Rattus norvegicus: one gene and its partners. The protein of the gene in region 5 interacts with the protein of the main gene of each other region in a pairwise test. Links are inferred from orthologs where the notes say so. Each region holds a gene or a part of one and is shown on either strand. Other genes may lie near its edges. The genes, in order: Ube2i, Nufip1, Pick1, Fsd2 and Fmr1.

Region 1 (3,852 bases), on a different chromosome or scaffold from region 5:
AAGAGCCTCAGTTGAGGAAATGCCTCCACGAGACCCAGCTAATAAGGCATTTTCTCAACTAGTGATCAAGGGAGGAGGACCCAGCCCACTGTGGGTGGTCCTGTCCCTGGGCTGGTAGTCTTGGGTTCTATAAGAGAGCAAGCTGAGGGGTTGGGGATTTAGCTCAGTGGTAGAGCTAGGCCCTGGGTTCGGTCCCCAGCTCCGAAAAAAAAAAGAAAAGGGGGTGGGGGGAGTAAGCTGAGCAAGCCAGTAAGATACATTCCTCCATGGCCTTGCATCAGTTCCTGCTTCCTGCCCTGTGTGAGTTCCAGTCCTGACTTCCTTTGGTGATGAACAGCAAAGTGGAAGTGTAAGCTGAATACACCCTTTCCTCTCCAACTTGCTTCTTGGTCATGATGTTTGTGCAGGAATAGAAACCCTGACTAAGACAGGGGCTTAGTTAATCTAATGACTTAGATTGATGGGGCTTGTGGGGTATGAAAAACAGCCTTGGCTACTGTGAACAGGACAAACCCATAACAGAGTAGCCAGCTGCCACTCCATACCTGTTTGATCGTAATAGCTGGCCGCCAGTCCTTGTCTTCCTCCAGGATGGACAGGCACACTGTGCCAGAAGGATACACGTTTGGATGAAACAGTGGTGGCTCAAATTTACCTGGAGGACAGGGGGAGAAAGGAATACTTTTGGAGGCAGATGCTGTCCCCATCCCGTGCTGCCCTTGCCCTTCTGACACTAGAGCTCCTTTATAAAAGAACTAATCTCAGAAACTCAATAGCAGAAGGGCCGGAAAGAGAATATACCTTTCCCTTCAGAGGAGCTAAGCCTGGATACAGCAGACAACTCTGCCTCGAGGAACCTAAAGCAGCCAGAAGAGACTATGGCCAGGAGTTGGGGAGCTGAGCCTATGCTCTTCTCTCATGTCCATAATAGAGGAAAGAGGCCAGAACACATTCCCCAAAGACCTATTCAGGGGGTGGGCACTTCACTGAACAGGCTTCAAGTACACCACATGTCTTTACAATAGCAGAAATATCCGCTCCATTCAGGTACTATTTCACAGCCGATATTTGAGAATGTGTCTCACTCTGATCTAGGCAAACCTTTTTCTCTTTATTTTCAAACATGTATAACCCCCCAAAGTGCAAGTCTAAATAAAGGCTGCCTGTTTTTTTAGCAAATGAAGGGGTCTTGGGATAGCTCTGTGGCAGCACACGTCCCTGGGGTACAGAAGGCTTTGGCTGAGTTCCTAGTACTATATACACATGGGCTGAGCATTGCAGCAGCACACACCTATACCAACTGCTCTGTAGGCTAGGCAAGAAGATTATGAGTGGAAGGCCGGCCTGGGCTTCTTAGTGAAATATTGTTTAAAAAACAAACAACAAAACAAGGGTGAGGTGGGGTCGGATAAAGGGCTTAATTCCCAGAACTCGTATGGAAAGTTACAACTGCTGCTGTTCTGGGGGAGGGAATGAAGGTTTGTTTCTTCTTTCCTTTCTTTCTTTGGTTTTTAAAAAGTTTTCTCTATGTAGAAACCCTGGCTGTCCTGCCTTGAACTCTGAGACAAAAATGGACGCCAACACTAAGGTTAAAAGCTCATAGAAAACTCCCTAACTATTCTGCACAGTGTCTCTGTGCAGCTAGAATGCTGTGGGTTACAGCATTCCTCTCCAAGCGAGCTGTGAGGAGGGACTTGAGTGACTTGTGCCTCAGGCACAATGATATGCAAATGGGAGGGTGTGACCCCAAACTAAGGTTCATCAGTTCCTTCAGATCAACTGTCTCACTATTGGGCCAGGCCTTCGGGGTTCCCATTCCCATCTCCACAGAGACACTGCTGCTGGCAACCACCTTTAAAAAAAAAAAAAACCACCGAGGGGCAATGGCACACACCTCTGATCCCAGCACCTGGGAGGCAGAGGCAGGCAGATCGAGAGTTGGAGGCCAGTCTGGTCTGTAGAGCAGGCTCCAGGACAGCCACGGCCACACAGGAAAGCCTGTTCCACACCAACCCAACACAATCTTTTTGTTTTTAATGTATGTAGATATTGTACCTGTGTGTATGTTTGTGGATCATGTGTGTGCAGAGTCCATGGGAGCCAGAAAAGGGTGTCAAATCCCCTAAGACAGGAGTTATAGCCAGTTGTGAGCTGCCATGGGATGTCAGGATCCAACCTTGGTTCACTGGAAGAGCAGCTAGTATTCCAATACAGAGCCCACACTTCTGCTTTAAAGCTCGCCTTATCTCGAGCCCCTTACTCATCAGTGATTCTCAACACAAGTCTTTTTCAGCAGGCACCCTTCCCCATTCTGGTCTTTAACTTGTACTTTGCAAACACAAGTTTGATCTTACTTGCCAACCATGTTTACTTCTACCAGTGATAACCTGAATCTGAGTCTTAGTCAGCCCATCAGCCCCTCCAAGCTTTTAGCCTCAGTCAGCAGCAGAAGATGCTTTGGGGCATGGATCAGATATTAAGAGCCCACCATTTTGCTGTCCAGGGGTTTATAAGCTACATCTTGTTTCCCTTTACTTTCAATCACTTCCCAGGCTGCAACTAACACACACCTGCACCATCTCTGATTTCTGGAATCCCCAACCAGGCTTCCATGGGATTCCTGCCTTGTCTTTGTGAACATGTGTGGGCATTTATTCTCCTGGCTAGTTCTACAGAATAGTGGCAGGTTAGCTTTACTGGCAACAGCAGAGATCTTCCAGAGAAATGGCCTTCACACACCACAGCAAGTGCCCAAGAGCTTGTCTCCCTCCCAGCTCTTGGCTGCCTCAGCCCACCTCCTTGGTAGCCCAGAAGGGCCCGGAAACGGTGCATTCTGCTCCTTTGCATTTCTTTCACTAGCTGGTGACTTTTAAGACTGACTTAACTCCAGGGTCAGAGAGGCCAACACCTCTTGTACTTCCCTGACTAAGAATGAATGCCTTCCACCCCAGATCAGCAAACCTCTGGAGTCTCCTCCAAAGCTGCCCTGCTCCCCATTCACTAGGCTGAGCTGAACCTATAGGCCATGGCAAAGGAGCTTCCCCTGCCCACTAGCAGTTTCATCCCATACCCAGCTGTGAATGGGCCTGGCTTTTCTGGACTATCTATCCATTCTGCTTCATGGTCTGCTGGCCTGTCTTTGCACAGATGTCACAACATCTAACCATATCTTGGTAACTAGTTGGTGACAATGGTCTGTCTACCCTGCTGAGGCACTCTGTTTATCCTGGGTCTCCATTTGGATGTCGAGGCTCCTGAAACTTCAAGGAATTGACTGCCCCTGCCCTTTGCACCTCCATACACAATTCAGATCCTGCCCGACTAATGGGGATACCCTGTGGCACTTGCAGACTCGTTAGGATAATCGTCACCTCACATAATTGCTGAGGCTACCTCAGGCTTCTCAGAAATGCCCATGGTCTCCGGAGCACAAGACTCCCCCTCCCCAGCATTTGGTGCTCCTGCAACAGCTCAGTTTCCAAACGTCCACGAGCCATGATCCATTTCTCCATGTTCACTTTTTTCCTCCTAAGCAGCTGCATCTTGGTTTTCCTCGCCAGTTTTGAGAGACTTCTTGTCTCACTGTATTTGCTCAAGATTCCACCACATGAGAGCAATGAGACCAACAACTCTGTCTGTCTCAATCGTAGCTACATACATACCCCTCAATTAAAAGAATGAATCACAGGGTTGGGGATTTGGCTCAGTGGTAGAGCGCTTGCCTAGCAAGCGCAAGGCCCTGGGTTCAGTCCCCAGCTCCGAAAAAAAAAAAAAGAAAAGAAAAAAAGAAAAAAGAAAAAAAAAAGAAAAAAGAAAGAAAGAAAGAATGAATGAATCACCAACAGTACGGCA
Region 2 (3,852 bases), on a different chromosome or scaffold from region 5:
AAGAACGTGCTTGGTGTCAGCTGCCATGAGAAGCATTGGACTGTGCTACCTCAGTGTCAGCACCACCGACCACTGCAACAACTACATTCCAAAACCGAGCTGCTGCCCAAGGGTAAGGGGACAGCTTCAAAACAGGTGAACAGGCCAGCCACGGCGACACACACAGGCTCAAATGCTCTAACGCAGGAGGAACACCCAGGTATGAAGCCACTCTGGGCTACACAGCAAGAGCCGGCCTTAAAGGAAAGTCTGCCTTTTCTTGGTCTTATCAAACATTAAAAAAGAGCTTTTACTTTATTTTTATTTGGAGTGGGTCTCTGTACACACCAAACAAGCGCTCCTCCATTGAACTACAAGGATAGTCAGAAGGGGTCTGCCTAAACTCCTTCCCACATCTTCAGCTCCTATACTCACAACACTTATCAGACAAACTCAGACCTTACATTTAGATACATGCACAGTATTAGAGTCAGACCCCTCACTCAGCTCAAGTTCTGGTTCTGCAGCAGCTATCAGTGCGACTAAAGTAACCTGCTTGGTCTCTGCAGTCTTGTCTCTAAATGGCAATCAGAATACCACCTACAGAAAAGAGGTAATACACACCAAGCACAGGGAGCACAGCAAGGTCCTTACTCGGTAACTATTAGTTGTGCTTAGTTTATTACCACTCCTTCTAAATCTTATCGAACTGTACCCAACCCAACACTCCACCGTTCCCAGATCCCTCTGCATCCAATCCACCGCAATGCACACAAGTGTGTATACGTCATCTCCCATTCAGCTTACCAGAGTCGCTGTGGATCAATACACCAAGAGGGTCTACATTAACCTTGGTCGGAATTTCAGGCTTCAAATCTCTGGCACGATTGCCTAGTCCAAGGACTGCTCTCTGTCTAGCCCCACCGCTTTTCCATTTATAATGTTTACCAGGACTCCTGATCTTTGCCATCTGTGAATGTCTGGACATGCCCTTCATTTTGCTGGAGTAAGAAAAAAAAGGAGCAAAAGAAATATGGATGTTAAATTGAGCCCTTAAGCCCTAAGACATTAAAGAGACCAAAATAAAGAACTACACAAAGGCTAAAGGTCCACACCCTACACCCTAAGTCTTAATCAGTTCTAGCTGCAGTCCCCACAAGTGTTTTGAGCCCTGACACAGGGCTCTGTTGTGTCATCACTGGCAGACCTCACCGTGTGGCATTTTCATACTATACATCAGCATCTATCTTAAGAGTTTACAAAACACACCCACTCTTATTTAATTAAAAAGTTACATCCCCAGCTCCGAAAAAAAATTTTTTTTACTCATTTTAAGGGAGCTTCTAGGTTTGCAAAGCATTTATAAGAATGTCACCTTCGGGGCTGGGGATTTAGCTCAGTGGTAGAGCGCTTACCTAGGAAGCGCAAGGCCCTGGGTTCGGTCCCCAGCTCCGAAAAAAAGAACCAAAAAAAAAAAAAAAAAAAAAAAAAAAAAAGAATGTCACCTTCACCAGATCCTCTCTTTGAATAAACATTCTGTAAAGTCCTCTGAGCAGAAGGAAAATGCCTGATAGATTTATACAACAAAGAACACCTAAGAGTTAGCATCTAGGGATCATAGCCATTACCCACCTGGTCCTCAACTGTGTCTGAGCTTTGTCACCACAACAGATGTTCCCAACACCATTCTGACCCCAAATGCCAGTGGCAAGTACTTCCTGTTGTATCTTTTTTAAAAGGACAGCATTTAAAAGCAACGGCAAGGAAAATTAAGAGGTGCATCCTTAATGTATGCAACCAAACATTAACTCTTGGAAATCAAGGGCGGTAAGCCCTTTGAAGCTGGAGAGGTGTACAGCATCCCTTCCAGAACTGGAGTTCAGTTCTCAGTATCAACACTGGGTGGTTCACAATTCCCTAGAACTCTAACTCCTGAGATCTTACACCCTCCTACAGCCTCTACAGACATTGCACTTAAGCGCACAACTCAGCACCCCTCTCACACACATAATTAGAAAAAATATAAGATGCTTGATATTGCTAGTAACTGAGAGACAGAGAGATCACATGCAATGAGAAGTCCAAATCAGTCCAACCATTTGGCCAACTATTAAAGCTAATCATATAGATAACCTATGACATACCATCTGTCTCATGAAAAAAAAAAAATGAACATTAATGTCCACAAAAGACATGTACAAAAATGTCTATATGTAGCATGCATGTATCTCAAAAAATATCACATTTACCCAAGAATATATATATAGTGTATGGTTTCATTTACATAATTGTAAGGACAGGAATAATTTATAATAATTAAAAACCAAAACAATGTTACTGTTTATGGGGTACACTGAACAGGATAGTGCTTAAGGGAGCTGGGTGACGGGGGCTGGGGATTTAGCTCAGTGGTAGAGCGCTTACCTAGGAAGCGCAAGGCCCTGGGTTCGGTCCCCAGCTCCGAAAAAAAAAAAAAAAAAAAGAAAAAAAAAAAAAAAGGGAGCTGGGTGAACAAGGACATTCTGTATGTCAATCTATGTGGTAGGGGTAGGGGTGTGTGTGTGTGTGTGTGTGTGTGAGAGAGAGAGAGAGAGAGACAGCGAGAGAGAGAGAACACGGGCATTCATCGTGCAATGCACTTAGGATTTGTATATTTAAACTGTTAGGTTAGTAAAATAAAATAAAAAAATTCTGAACAAGAAAGTGAGTGGAGGGAAAGGAGACCTTGAGTATTACTGACAGGAGAGACAGGAGAGACAGGAGAGCATGGCCGCTGTACGACAGATCTATTTTTATTAATAAGCAACTATCTAACTGCTTGAATGACAAGGGAATTGACTGAAATAATCCTGTGGGCCCTTCTTGATTACATTTCCTACACATCCAAGCAAGAGTTTGCTTGTCTGAAGAAGCACAGGGCAGTGTGGCCCACGGTAGAGACACTGCTATCATTCCTATGCTGACTAGCAGGGCAACAAGGAAGGAAAGGACTGTTCAAACCCTATCACATGTGTAGATACCCTCTAGGTATTGGTACTTAAGATACAATTTAAACAATTGCTAAAGCAAAAGGTACAGAGCGAGATTTCAGAATGGCAGCAGAGGGATGTGAGGAGACTGGGATGCTCCCTCTCTTCCCCAGAAGCTCATGCTTTTGAAGGAGCACAGAGGATGCACAGGGACAGCGTCAAAGAACTCACCCGTACTGTGTGGTTGTCAACACTTCTCCTCTCTTTTCCTTTTCCAGCTGTAACAGCTTCTTCCTTTCAATATTGGCCAGAGTTGGGTAGTTTCTAGAAGAAAAAATTAAAACTTATCACAAACATCCAACTACTTCTAAAATCTAAGAGAGAAAATGCAGTTCACGCATCAGTGTCTCAGCTGTCCACACAATTCTGTACCCAGGTAAGGAGTGTGTGCTAGAATTTCAACTGCTCTAACATCTCTGCTTAGCATGCACTGATGCAGAGAGAAACAACCTGCCTAGCCAATTACTTCTGCAGAAACACGCCATGCACACACAGTCACCAAGGTAAGAGACAACCCTCAAACAACAGTCTACTATGGAGGACACTGAGAGCCTAAGAACAGCTGTACCTGAGACAGAACAGTGAACACCCAGCAGAGGACACGTTTCCTTTGCGTGGGGTGAGATATTTCCAGGGGGAAAGCTCTGGAGTTTGTTCTAAGTAAGCTAAGTAATACAAACGACTCAAGATCACAGAGTGGCCACTATCACAGGGATTTACTTCACATGAAACATAACTTAACTATAGGGAACTGAATTACCACAGGAGGCTCAACCCGAAATGTTGTACTCAATCCAGCAGGTGACAGCAAACTATGGAAAAATTCTAGAGAGCTGGGGAGATG
Region 3 (3,583 bases), on a different chromosome or scaffold from region 5:
TTTGGGACCCTGCCACCTCACATATTCCTTGCCCCTGTGTGGTCTCAAGATGGCCATCCCCTGTCCTAAGGGGCACTTCAGAGTAGGACTGCAGTATGTGCTACACACACACACAGCCAGGCAGACAAAACAAAAATGTCTGTCAACATCTCCCTTGCACCCCTGGGCTCCCCAGCCAGCCCCGTATGACCCAGACCAGTATCTGTTCTGCCTCCTTGCCCAAAGGCTTATTGTAAAACCAGAACAGGGAAGGGTTGAGAGTGCTTGATGACACTGGAAGGTCACAGTCAAGGTTTCAGGACCCAGACTCAAGCTGCAGCTCCCACTGTTCTCACAATGTCTGGTTCTGAGCAGGATGCTGCCCCGAGCCTCTGGACCCCAGAGCTGCTCCTATAGGCACTGCTAGAGGTGAGTGATGGACACAGAGGGAATTGCCTAAGCTTTGTGTCCCATCCTCCTGCATGACCCAGGAGGCAGCTGAGATTTGGCTACAAAGGGTCTGAGCCATTGCGAGGAGCCCATCCATTCTGTCTGGGTTTCTGTTTATTCAATACAGGCCCAGCTTCCAGCCCTTGAGGCTAAGCCAGAAACAAATAAATATAGGCTGCCGAGGTGTGCACATGGACTCAGGGGGCCGCCCTGGTACACTGGTCACAGCCTCGGATGTCCACCCAGCTCCCATTCCCTGCAGGCGTGGCACCACCGAGGTGCTCACAGGGACAGGGACAGGTCCTGTGCTCTGCCTGCTCCAGCCCCTTCTCTTTCTGTCCAAGGCCCAGCTCTCCCTCTAGCTGGGAGGTGGGAAGGAAGGATGGGGGCTAGAGTCCAGGTCCCAGGCTGCAGGCTGGGTTCACTGTTCAAGGACAGAGGAGCAGGGAGGCAGGCGCCCCGAGCCAGCAGGCTTTTATGCGCCACTATATGCCTTCGCTGTCCTACAGTGGCCCGGCCCCACTCCCACTGCGGTCCTCCCACTACCCTGCCCCCAGGTCCACTTGAGGGGGGCACTCAGGAGTCACACCAGCTTCTGCCCTTGTCTGTAGGCCCAGTGGCCCCACGTGCGTCCTTGGACACTTCCCTAGCTGCCCCGTCCTCCTCCTCCTCCTCCTCATCTTCGCCATCGGTAAAGCCGCCCTGGTTAGGGCCGTAGGCTAGAGTGGTGTGTGCCAGGTCCACCTCGATGGGGAAGACGTCGGCGTCCCGCAGCACCGCATAGCAGTCATTATAGTACTTGGACATGGTAGACACGAAGCGCTGCAGCTGGAACACGATGTCCTGGACTGGGGCAGGAGGTGAGCAGACAGGCCCAGTGACTATGACTGCTTCCTCTTAGGAAAGACCTGGAACTGGTTTGGCCTTCCTGTTGGGACACTTCCTGGGCCCCAGGCCTAAGAAGGGTAGAAAGGGGCGCAGCCAAAGGCTTCCTGGCCTGGCCCAATTGGCCACTTAAGTCCTCCAAACTCTTAGCTCAGGAAACAAAGGTTTCCTGAGTGAGCAGATCATGGACCCAAGCCCTGCCCCCAACCCAGCCAGGCTATAGGTGGGCTCCTGCCAGGGCCTAGTCTTGGGATCTCAGGGAGACTCTCTCTGGGCCTCATCTCGGATTTAGGGAGGGAATGGCACCCACCCTGGGGCTAAGTGCCAGCAAAGGACCTCCTAGGGTAGCATGGGCAACAGAGCCCCACACGCAGCCCTCACCGTGCTTCTGGTCCAGCAGCTCCATCTTCTCCAGCACATCCTTGCGCATCTGGGAGAAGCGGGCTCGAGCCTCCTGGCGGCAGCGCAGGATAAGGCGGTACTCATAGTTGCCTGTGCTCACTCGGTATAGCGGCTCTCCTAGGGCCTGGGGCAGGCAAGCTTGTCAGCGCCCTTGGGTGGACCTGGGCCTCCCAGGGACAGATGGGGCTGGAAGGCTGTAGGCTGGCCCAGCTCACAGCTATACCACAATGGGCTTTCAGATGCCAGTGATGGACAGAAGCTCAAAGCAGTAACTTTGGAGGGAGAAAAATCAACCACAGAAACACGAACACAGCTCACATGAAATAAATGAATATTGGTCAAAGGATGGACCCTGACTGCAAACACAACAAAACAGAAACAAATGAACAAAAACTAAAAAACAGCCAGGGCTGGAGAGTGGCTAAGAATAGTCACTGCTCTTGTAGCAGCCTGGGTTCAGTTACCAGTGCCCACAGGGTTCTGCCCAACTCTCTGTCGTTTTAGTTCCGACAACCCCTCTTCTGACCGTCACAGTCACCATACACACACACCAGGCAAAACACTCACACACACAATAAAGTAAATAAGCCCAACTCTTTTCTTTCTAAAATCAAAGCAGAGCTCAGAAGCAAGCTGTTAGCTTTTTCCCTCACAAACTTGGGGTACCTGACCTAAAGCAGATCCAGGAAATTACCTCATGGCCAACTAACTGGTACTCCGAGTCAGAGGAACTGGGAGAATAAGCTGATCGCCCCAAACTACAGTCCAGCTAAAGCCCCAGGATGCCTGCCATACCCACCACCTGTGACAGTCCCAGGCCTTCTGAGGCAGTTGGGGAAACGTGGGCACCCGAAGCCATCCTAACACCACCGCGGGCCCATCTGGTACTCACAATGCAGCTGTACTCCTCGTCGTCCATCTCCTTCACCTTCAGACAGTATGACTGTATGGGATGGGATGGGAGAGGCCAGGAAGTCAGCAGCCAAGCTTCCTGCACTCGTCCAAGTTTCCAGCTCCCCCTGCCATGCCTCCCTATGCCCTCAGCTCACACCGAGAGCAACCACATAGGCCACCAGGGTCAGGACCACCAGAGAAAGGCTGGAAGCATGGATGGAGGCCCTGTAAAGGGGCATCAGGGCTATGAGAACTCCTCTGGGAGGGTGCAAAGGCCTGAAGGCTTGAGAAATTCAAAAGCAATTAAGATTCAAGTCTCTGAGGACTGGAGGGTGTGGTTCAGAGGGACAGCACTGGCCTAGTATACATAAGGCCTAGGTAGGGTTCTATCTCAAGACCAAAACCCAAACCCACGGTACTGTGTGGTGGTGCTGGCTGGACAACAGGGCATGGCAGCCCCTTGAAGACATGCTGTGTATAGGCCTACAAGTCAAGACTCTAAGAAGAGCTAGAGCAAAAAGCCTGAACCCTCAACAGATCATTTTTTTAGCTCCTTTGAGCAACAGATCATCTAGGACTCAAAACATCCTTTTCCTAAACCCAGTCTGAGCTGCTGCTAGAAACCATAGAGAACTGGAGTGCGCCAGTGCTCCGGGCTGTAGGCAGTCTGGAGCTCCTTGGTGTGGACACAGAGTCTAGGCTCCCCTGATTCTCTAGTCAGGCCTTTAATCTCACAGGCCTGACTCAGCTCATGTCTGGGCCCAGCCTGCCTGCTGGCCTCAGGGCTGGCCTCCAGGGTGGGCTCACCTCAGCTGGCCAGACAGGGCAGTACACTCACCAAGTACTCAAACTTCACATCCAGGTACTTCTTGATGGTGAGGCGTGTATCAGGGATGGCCTTATTGAGGTACGTGTTCAGATCCGTCAGCATCTGGGAGGTTGGGACAAATGGCACCGATGTGTCATCCCTTCC
Region 4 (4,564 bases), on a different chromosome or scaffold from region 5:
TATTTTTTTAAGACAGAGACTGTTACTGAGCCCGGAGCTCATTGATTGGGTTAGGCTAGCCAATCAATAAACTCCAGGGGTCTGCCTGTCTCTGTCACTTCCTCACCTCTGTGTTGGGTTCAGACACATGCACCTGCACCTGGCTTATGTAACTGTTCATGATCTGAACTCCAGTCCCTGGGCTTGTGAGACAGCTTCTTTACTGACTGGGCCATCTCTCCAGCCCCAAAATGCATCATTTGATGAAGTGGACAGGACTTTGTTTATTTAAAAAAAGAAAAAGGCTCAACTCAACCCAGGAGTGGAAATTACAGGATCTAGAATGCAACAGGAATGAGTGAGTTCGTATTTTGTTTTTCAGTTTGTCCAGGCAAACTGAGTGACCGTGCTCACCTGTGTAGGTAGATGGGAATGGAGGTGGTTATAACATTCCATTCTTTCAGCTCCTTCTGAAATGTACGCCGAAATTATATAATGACCTATCATGAACATTTATTTCAAATAATATATCAGCTGACAACTTGATTAGATCCTCTTGCAATTTTGTTAGAAGCAAAGAGCTGGAAAGCACTTACCTTGAAAAAAAGATCCTTTCTTTCTCATTCATTAATGTCACTCACTCTTGGCATTGATGCCAATCCTCCAGGCTATCCTTTCATCCAGTCCCCTGGAGGCTTTATTAAATTCCCAAGCAATGAAATCTTACTGTGCAATGTAATATTCAGAATGAACAGGAAATATATTTTTGCTTTTCTGATAAGCGAAGGGCTGTTGAGAAGAAAGGACCTCAGAGGCTGCCTTGTTCCCAGGCGAAGCAGCTCTGAGAAAGGCCAAATGCAAACCTGAGACTGTATCTGAACGCTAACTCTTCATACCCAGTGCCTGGATTCCCCATGGAAAGCCCCGTGCACACGTGTCACGGTGTGGAAATCAGCATTATCAATGCCGTCCTTTGAAGGAGCCTGACTATGAACAAGGAGGGGCAGATGGTAGCAGGGGGGAGGAGGCTTAGTTTTACGCTGGCCTCATTCAAACTGTTCTTTCATAACAAATTATTCCACAGCTTGATAACCTAAAATAACCAATATTTATGATCTTGCATGGTTCGTGAGAGCTGTGAATGGCAAAGAGGTCATGCGGTGACCCTAGGTAGGGGTGATGCTCCTAATACACCTTTCTATAGCAGTGTCTCCAGCTCGCCAGCCAGCCTTAGGTCTCTAGGGAGGGTCTCCATGTGTTTCTGTTGAGCAATTGTGAGTCAGCTACGGCTGGGACAATTCAGTGAATTTGCTTGCCATGATGTAGACTGTGACCGTTGACTTCTTGGATAAAATCTGGAACTATGGAATCTCGTGCGCAGACTCTGCAATTCTCTTCTTGGGAACTGACGTTCACTTCTTCTGTGTCCTAGGTCTCAGAATACCCACTGACTGACTAGGAAGGGCTGTTCTGTGTCAATGGAGGAGGAAGCAGGGGAGGAGCCGGGGCTGGGGAGATCAACAGCCCCCAGAGACTTCCACTTTTATCACATGGACCTGTATGACTCTGAAGATAGACTGCAGCTCTTCCCAGGAGAAAGCAGCAGAACCCGGAGGGAAGTAACCCAGGCTGAACTGACCAATGAGCCAAGAGGGGCAGGGGACAGTAAGAATCTCCAGAAGGAAGTGGACGCGCTTGTCCATTTATACGGGCTTGAAGATGAACATGAGTTAGGGGGTGAATTTGTGGATGAACACAGATTGGGGACTCTGGGGTATCCGTACGGGATGAGGAGGAGGGATCCAGGCAGGGAGCAGAGAGACTGGGGGCTTAGTGGTGAGGCAGCTGAGGCCGAGGACCTGTGCTACGGAGTTCAAGGCCCTCCTGACCAATGCCAAGACCTTCGGGAAGCCTACAGGTACACACATGGCCGCGCCAGCGAGGAATATGAATGCTACGTCATCCCAGAGGAGGAAGATGAGGAAGAGCCTGCTGATGTCTTCTGTGTCACTTGCAAAACTCCAGTGAGAACTGTTGAGAAGGATTTTGATATACACAAGGAACACGAAGTAACCCCAATCAACAAGGCTCTGGAACACGCCAAGGTAACAGATCTTACATCTTCCGCTGGAGAGTGCATGTGTGTCTCGGGGAGGTGGGCAGAGGTTCAGTCCTTCATGCCTCCAAGGATGAAATGGTAGCCTGGAGAGATGGTTCAGCATTAAGAGCACTGGCTGCTTTGCAGAAGTCTTGGGTTCAGTTCCCAGCATCCGCATGGTGACTCACAGCCATCTGTAACAGCAGTCCCAGGGACCCCGATGTCCTCCCCTAGGCTCTGTGGTCACTAAGAACACAACGTGGCGTACAGATACACACACACACACAGGCAAACATCGGTGCACATGTTTTTTTTTTTTTTAATTTAAAAAAGATAGAATAAGCTTATCGTTGATACTTTATTCGTTCTGCTCACCTCCACAGGATGAAATTCACAAAAATATGTGCAAATTGGAACAGCAGATTATTGAGATGGAAAATTTCGCTAGCCACCTGGAAGAAGTGTTCATCACTGTGGAGGTAAGGCCGAGTGTGGTGATCTCTCCACAAGTAGCTTCCTTCAGGCAGCTGCTCCCAGTGAGCTACAGAAGCCATGTCTTGGAATGTGAGAGCCCGCCCCTCCCCTCAGCTATCCACTGAACTTCACTGCCCCTGGGCAACTACAGAGGTGACTGTCACTTGCCTTCATCCCCCTACTCTGTCCTCTACGTGGGAGAGGCTGGTGTGTGTGTGTGTGTGTGTGTGTGTGTGTGTGTGTGTGTGTGTGTGTGTGTGTTTGCTGTTGTTTGGTTGGTTACTTTGTTGGTTGGTTTGATTTCTTGAAACAAGGTTTCTCTGTGTATCCCTGGCTGTTCTCGAACTCTCTCTGTAATCCAGACTGACCTCAGATTTGGAGATCCACCTGCCTCTGTCTTCTACCTGCTGGGGTTAAAGGTGTGTGCCCATACTACCCAGATTTATAAATGTTTATTACATGAATAAGTAAAACAGAAACTTTCCAATCAAAGTACCAATTGCATGGGGTTTAATTTTCGTTGTTGCTGTTTTGTTTTGTTCTAACAGTGATGACACCATGGTGGCACCATCCAGATGGTGAAGTGAACAGTTTCCTTCTGTCCTGGGAGTTGGGGTGGGATGGGGTGGGTATGTGTGTTTCTGTGCATCCGTGTTTGCAAGTACATATGCACATGCACTTGCATGTGAAGGCCAGAGGTCAAGTTTGGGTTTCTTCCTCAGCCATTCTGTACCCCATTTTTGAGACTGGATTTGGAGTTCTGTAGCTTTGCTAGTCTAGCTGGCCTGAAAGACCTGGAGATCCCCCTGTCTCAGTCCTCAGTGTTAGAGCCACACAAGCTCACTGCTACACTGTCGGAACTACATTCACTCACTGCTGACCTACATATGAACTACATATGCTCACAGCTGCACTTACATACAAACTACCTACGCTCACTGCTGCACTGCTGACCTACATGCGCTCACTGCTGACCTGACCTTTTACACAGGCGCTGGATACCCTAATTCAGGTTTCCATGCTTGCTTTGGGGCTCACTCTGAGACTCCCCTGGGTGCTGTCTGATGTCCTGCTGTATAAGCAGGCATAGTGTTTCCTTGCTCTCTGGAGTTTTTAATTGTCTGTGTGTGGTGGGGTGGTACCCATCATATCACAGTTTTCCCCCTTTGAAAATGTTTATTGTTTATATCCATTTTATATGGTATTATGCAAAGCAAGGACATTTTCACACGTGTATATAATGTGTGTTGAGCATACTCCTCCAAATCCACTTCCCTCTTTTATCTCCCCCGTTCTTCTCCTCTTAGTACTCTCTGTTCCCTAGACAGTTTCATGACCTTTGTACATACATAATTTTATGAATCTATGTGAGATTCAGGAGCAACAACTGAGAGAGAATGTATATTTGTCTTCTGAGGCTACCTTAATTATATTTTCTCTAGCAGCATTCATTTTCCTGCAAACAGTTCCATTGAGTATGTAGACATTTCTTTACCCGTCCCTCTGTGATGGACACCTCGGTTAGTTCCATAACTTAGCTAATGTGGATAGCACGGATGTTCGATGTCCGTGGCAGGCTGACTTGGGCCAGATGGGAAGTGTATTTTCAGCTTTTTAGGAAACTGTGTACTGAGTGTCCATGGTGTGGGGACCAATTTACATCCGAAAAGTGGCGTGTGCAGAGTCCCTCTTGTCCACACGCCCGACAGCAGTTACTTGTCAAACAGGTCTTCATGTTTCACGCTCCCCACTCCGTCTGGTTATCGTTCCTCCAACACAGACACACTTCTAGCTGTGCGCGGGTCATACAAAGAAGCATCTGTATGGTCTCTTTTAACCTAGCCACTTTGCAAGCTTTCCGACAAGACCATCGAGACCGTAGAATTCCAAAACTGGTGGCTGCATCCTGGGCCAAGTGTGTCCAGATTCTCAGTCTCTTACTCAAAAGTGAGATGAAAACCCACACAAATTGCCAAACAGCTGAGCGGTAGAGCAGATCCGAAATGCTCTGCT
Region 5 (4,381 bases):
AAAAAAAAAAAACTAAAAGTAGTCACAAGGGGGTTGATGGAAAGGAGGTATGGGATGGGGAACAGTGTGGGGCTTTGGGGGTGGAGAAGACAGGGAGGTCAATAAAGTCTAACTGTCCAAAAAGAATTAAAGAATAAAAATTTTTAAAAATTAAAAAAAGTAGTCACAAATCTAATAGTTTTAAAAATTAAACAATAAAAGAAAAAATCCAAATCAGAACTGGTTGGCTCTTACCATGCCAGAAGCATGATTTGTGAATCTGAAATCTTCAATTTATTGATGTTTTAGAGAAAGAATCAAATCATTCCTAATATGTGTTCTATATAGTTATTCTGCAAACTTAATGTGCTCAGGGAATGTACAACTACCCTTTACAATACAGTAGTTCTAGTAAGCAAATCAAAAGCTGAATTCAATTATACTGAATTTGACTTACTTCGCTTTAAATTTTTACTTCTACCAATTTAATGAACAGGGTTCCCAGTGTTTCCATAATGGTCTTTACTTCTCATCTTTGTCATCAATCTCACCAGAAAAGGACTCAGCATGCTTCCACTTTATTTTCTCCTGTTCACAGTCAATATTCTAAGTGATGTAAAATTTAAACTTCTTTCAGTATAGCCAGTACCCTTCCTTTAATATAGACCAGTTGAAACTTAAAAAAAAACCAAAAAACAAAAATAAACTTAAACACAATAGCAATTCTTCAACACACACTTTAAAAGAGTACTACATGTCCCCTCAGGGAATCAAAGGATAATTCAAAGTCTATTCATTTTCGTTCATCTTCAAATTAAGAAGTTGTTGAAAAACAAAGCCAAGAAAAAAGCAAGGGGATTAATAGTGGAAACAGTGCACTTTTTAAAAAATATTCCAGTCAGTTTGCAAGCAAAATTACTGGGGCCAATAAATCCTTCAAGAGTAGGATGCACTACTTGCCCTCAATGGCAAGCCAACTTCATTAAAAGCAACTAACAGTGGACTCAAATCTAAGCTGGTATTAGAGATGAACAAAAATACTACTTAACTATTATCCCTTGCTCATCTGTGTCTCAGTGCCCCAACTCTAGCAATTAAAACTGTCATTCTAGAAACTAGAAACCTTCTAATGCAAAATAACCAAAACTAGAAACCTTCTAATGCAAAATAACCAAAACTAACTGGAACATTTTTTTATTACAGCAAATTGAAAAAACTGCACTGATAGAATTAGCAACAAAAATGCTGCATTCTTTCTGTCTCCCATGCTACAACAAAAGGGTATTTTTAGTATAAATTAGTATTTTACAAATTTCCCTCATTCATGAAATTTATCTTCCACTAAATGTCTCCATAGACTTGATAAAAGCATAATTTATCTTCTACTAAATGTCTCCATAGACTTGATAAAAGCATAATTTACAAAAGTCACTTTCCTGAGCTTAGCCTAGTACGTCCCATTTGAAATGCTCAAGTTCTTCTACAATAAACTTAAAACGGTTGGACAATGGCAAAAGCTATTTTCCATGCTTCCTTCCACGTGCAGCTTCTGTTACTAAAATATTCTACTGAGGTGGGGCCTTACAGAGCTTGTAAACATTAAAAAAAGAGACTTTATAATATTGCTAGATCTACATCTATGCAGTATCAGGAATCATACCACATTACATGTATTTTAAGGTTCCTTTAAAAAAATATACGTTATCTGATATTCAATGGTATAAAAAAAACCCCTCAGTAGTTCCATGAATGCTTATTTAAAACCTCAAGAACATAGCCCACTGCAACACCGCAAAAGTCAAAGCGAATATACTCAAGTTTATGCACTTCAGAGCACAAAACAAACATTCCAAACCGTCCTGGTAAAAATTCAGTAGCAATCAGACAGTCCCCGTTAATTTCCTGAAGTTCTGTGGCACAAATTCGGGTCCTTGAGAACTTAAACACAAAGGAAAATTTAAAATAAGCAGACTTGGTAATATTTTTAGAAGTCGCGACATGTTTATCCCTGAATTTCCCCCAGTTACAGAGGGTAGGAGGCCATGGATATCAGCTTTGGCTAGCGTTTTAAATGGCTCTCTCAGATGTCATGGTCTTTCAGAAACTTTTAGGTCTAAAACCCTCCTTCGAAATTCACAAAGAGGCCACTAAAGAGCAGTTGCCATTGTGATTCCGGACTGCCAAGGGCTTCTTAGAACTCGCTCCACTCCGCTCGCCCAGAACAGGGGAGCTCTCCAAAGTCTGGACTGTGGGCCGACAACCCGGAGCCCAAGACTCCGAACCGCCGTCCGGCAGGGCAGGAGGCGGCGGGGCTGAGGCGCCCCCGGTTCCCTCACGGCTCCCCGCGTGTCAGGCCCCGAACCCACTAGGAGAGGATTATTTGGGAAAGCAGGACTAAGCCGCTGCCGCCACTTCACGCGGCACCGGCCCTATGGCCAGATCTACTGTCCTCGCATTCCCGCTTCCCTGACTGAACTCGGCCGCTCAACCACCCTCAGCTCCCGCGCTCCTTTCGCGTTCCGCCGGGCGCCGGGGCCTCAGGCGGGAGTCAGAGCGCTGAGGCGGGCTCTAGGCCCTGAGTCCGCCGCTCCCTCACGACCTACCGCCCGCCGCTCCCGCCGCGCCCGAGGGGCCCGCCCGCCGCCCGGGACACAAGGGAGGGAGGGAGGCCGAGGACCCGGCCTGTCCGGTAGCCCGTTACCTTGTAGAAAGCGCCATTGGAGCCCCGCACTTCCACCACCAGCTCCTCCATCTTCTCGTCCTTCCTCGCGCCGGGAGCCCGCCTCCGAGAGGTGGGCTGCAGGCGCTCGAGGCCCAGCCGTCGCCGCCGCCGCCGCGTTACCGCACGCCCCCCGGCAGCGGCGCCGCCGTCACTGACACCGCCCGCGCTCGCCGTCCGTTGGCTTCACTGCCCGCCCTCTCAGGCGCGGCCCCTCACCGGAAGTGAAACCGAAACGCTCCCCAGCGCAAGACTGACTGAGGCCGAGGGCTCTGCCGCGCCTCCTGTAAACAGTCAAACGACACCACGTGACCCTGGCGGCCCCTCCCCCATGGGCTCCGCCCCCTTCGCTCCGCCCTCTCTCTTGGGCAGCTGAGCACGCGCATGCGCCGTCGTGGGTACCTGCCTTGGGGTAACTGGGCAGATACTTTGGCGCGCGCGCTGGGTGAACGGCGGGAAAGCGCAAAGGGTAGTAACAGGTCGTGCTGCCTATGGCCAGCCGTGGGGACTAGAGGCCTTTTTTGTACAGGAGGAAGCGAGGACGTGGGAAAAGGCCTCCAGTTTTTGAAAATGGGGCCCAACCAGAAGTGGAGGGGCTTTGGGTACATTTTTCACTGCGCTGGCGTGGGACCTGATTGAACTGGAAGTCGCGGCGGGAGGGGAAGTTAAAGTGATAACTTCGATTGGAGAACACTTTGATGTAGGAACAGTTATAACTACACTGACCCTGACTTCTGGGACTTTTATGGCCAGAGTGCAAAATAAATCGCTATACTACCTAGCGATTTGGGGAAGCATTGTGGGAACTTTTGAGTACTTTTTAAGGGCCAATGGAGTGTGCCAGACCTTCAGGAAATGTTAGCCCTTTCTCAGACAATGCTGTCCCGCACACTTTCCTTTCATACTTTTACTTGGATTTCGTAATAAAGAGAGCTCACTGAAAGAGGGAGAGACAATGAATGTGTTAAACAGTTGTTAATTTCCTTACAGTTGGCTTTTGCCTCTTCTATGTGCACCCTATACCAGAGAGAGGGCATCAGGAAAGCAGTCATGGAACCTGTCTATGCACATCATTGTGTCCACTCCATGCAGCTCTTTTCCTGTGCCTTCCACAGCAGAACCAAGTCTAGCCTTTCACACCTCCTCCCCCTTGGCCTCTCTACTGGGCTCCTATCCAGCCTGACCCATGCTCCCTTAATCCAGAAGGCTTGCATCCAACTGAGAAGTTCATTAAATGCCTACCATGTGCCAAGCACCATACTAAGTACTAGTGAATCCTTGGTGAGGTAGCAATAAAAAGACTGTCATTGTTGACATTGGAACCTACAGGAGTAGATGGGCAAAATTCAACCTCTCAAGACTATACATATGGGACTGGAGAAGTGGCTGGCTGTAGTGGGTAAAGCATTTGCTATGCGAGCATGAAATTCTGAATTTTTGAATTCTTAGAATTCATATAAAGCTTGGCTTAAGTGCCTAAATAATCACTCCCCCAAAGTTGATTCTCCAGAAGTTCACAGTTCAGTGTGACTTATCCAGCTTCGAACAACAAAAAGACTGTCTCTGGGTAGAAGGCAAGGACTGCATTGGAAGAAGTTGTCCTTCGACCTCCACACATATCCTGTGGCATTTGTGTGCGGATACTCTCACACATGGATTCATATACACCCATACACACATGAA

The links.
Region 1: the proteins of Fmr1 (region 5) and Ube2i interact in a two-hybrid assay, tested with the Homo sapiens proteins (2 studies listed by BioGRID and IntAct). The link is inferred for Rattus norvegicus from reciprocal best matches to the Homo sapiens genes FMR1 and UBE2I.
Region 2: the proteins of Fmr1 (region 5) and Nufip1 interact in a two-hybrid assay, tested with the Homo sapiens proteins (2 studies listed by BioGRID). The link is inferred for Rattus norvegicus from reciprocal best matches to the Homo sapiens genes FMR1 and NUFIP1.
Region 3: the proteins of Fmr1 (region 5) and Pick1 interact in a two-hybrid assay, tested with the Homo sapiens proteins (2 studies listed by BioGRID and IntAct). The link is inferred for Rattus norvegicus from reciprocal best matches to the Homo sapiens genes FMR1 and PICK1.
Region 4: the proteins of Fmr1 (region 5) and Fsd2 interact in binary tests that used the Homo sapiens proteins (3 or more experiments, as listed by UniProt). The link is inferred for Rattus norvegicus from reciprocal best matches to the Homo sapiens genes FMR1 and FSD2.

Annotation. Positions count from the first base shown.
Region 1 is NC_086028.1:14,788,089-14,791,940, forward strand, and holds part of Ube2i (SUMO-conjugating enzyme UBC9), read right to left. Parts: intron 656-3,852; coding exon 546-655; intron 1-545. UniProt on the Homo sapiens protein: Accepts the ubiquitin-like proteins SUMO1, SUMO2, SUMO3, SUMO4 and SUMO1P1/SUMO5 from the UBLE1A-UBLE1B E1 complex and catalyzes their covalent attachment to other proteins with the help of an E3 ligase such as RANBP2, CBX4 and ZNF451.
Region 2 is NC_086033.1:57,852,024-57,855,875, reverse strand, and holds part of Nufip1 (FMR1-interacting protein NUFIP1), read right to left. Parts: intron 3,273-3,852; coding exon 3,180-3,272; intron 981-3,179; coding exon 787-980; intron 1-786. UniProt on the Homo sapiens protein: Binds RNA.
Region 3 is NC_086025.1:112,694,202-112,697,784, reverse strand, and holds the end of Pick1 (PRKCA-binding protein), read right to left. Parts: intron 3,542-3,583; coding exon 3,449-3,541; intron 2,660-3,448; coding exon 2,609-2,659; intron 1,841-2,608; coding exon 1,696-1,840; intron 1,278-1,695; coding exon 1,006-1,277; 3' UTR 510-1,005; downstream 1-509. UniProt on the Homo sapiens protein: Probable adapter protein that bind to and organize the subcellular localization of a variety of membrane proteins containing some PDZ recognition sequence.
Region 4 is NC_086019.1:144,923,058-144,927,621, reverse strand, and holds the start of Fsd2 (fibronectin type III and SPRY domain-containing protein 2), read left to right. Parts: upstream 1-1,457; coding exon 1,458-2,084; intron 2,085-2,460; coding exon 2,461-2,556; intron 2,557-4,564.
Region 5 is NC_086039.1:152,283,461-152,287,841, reverse strand, and holds the start of Fmr1 (fragile X messenger ribonucleoprotein 1), read right to left. Parts: upstream 2,913-4,381; 5' UTR 2,732-2,912; coding exon 2,681-2,731; intron 1,918-2,680; exon of another isoform or gene 437-1,917; intron 1-436.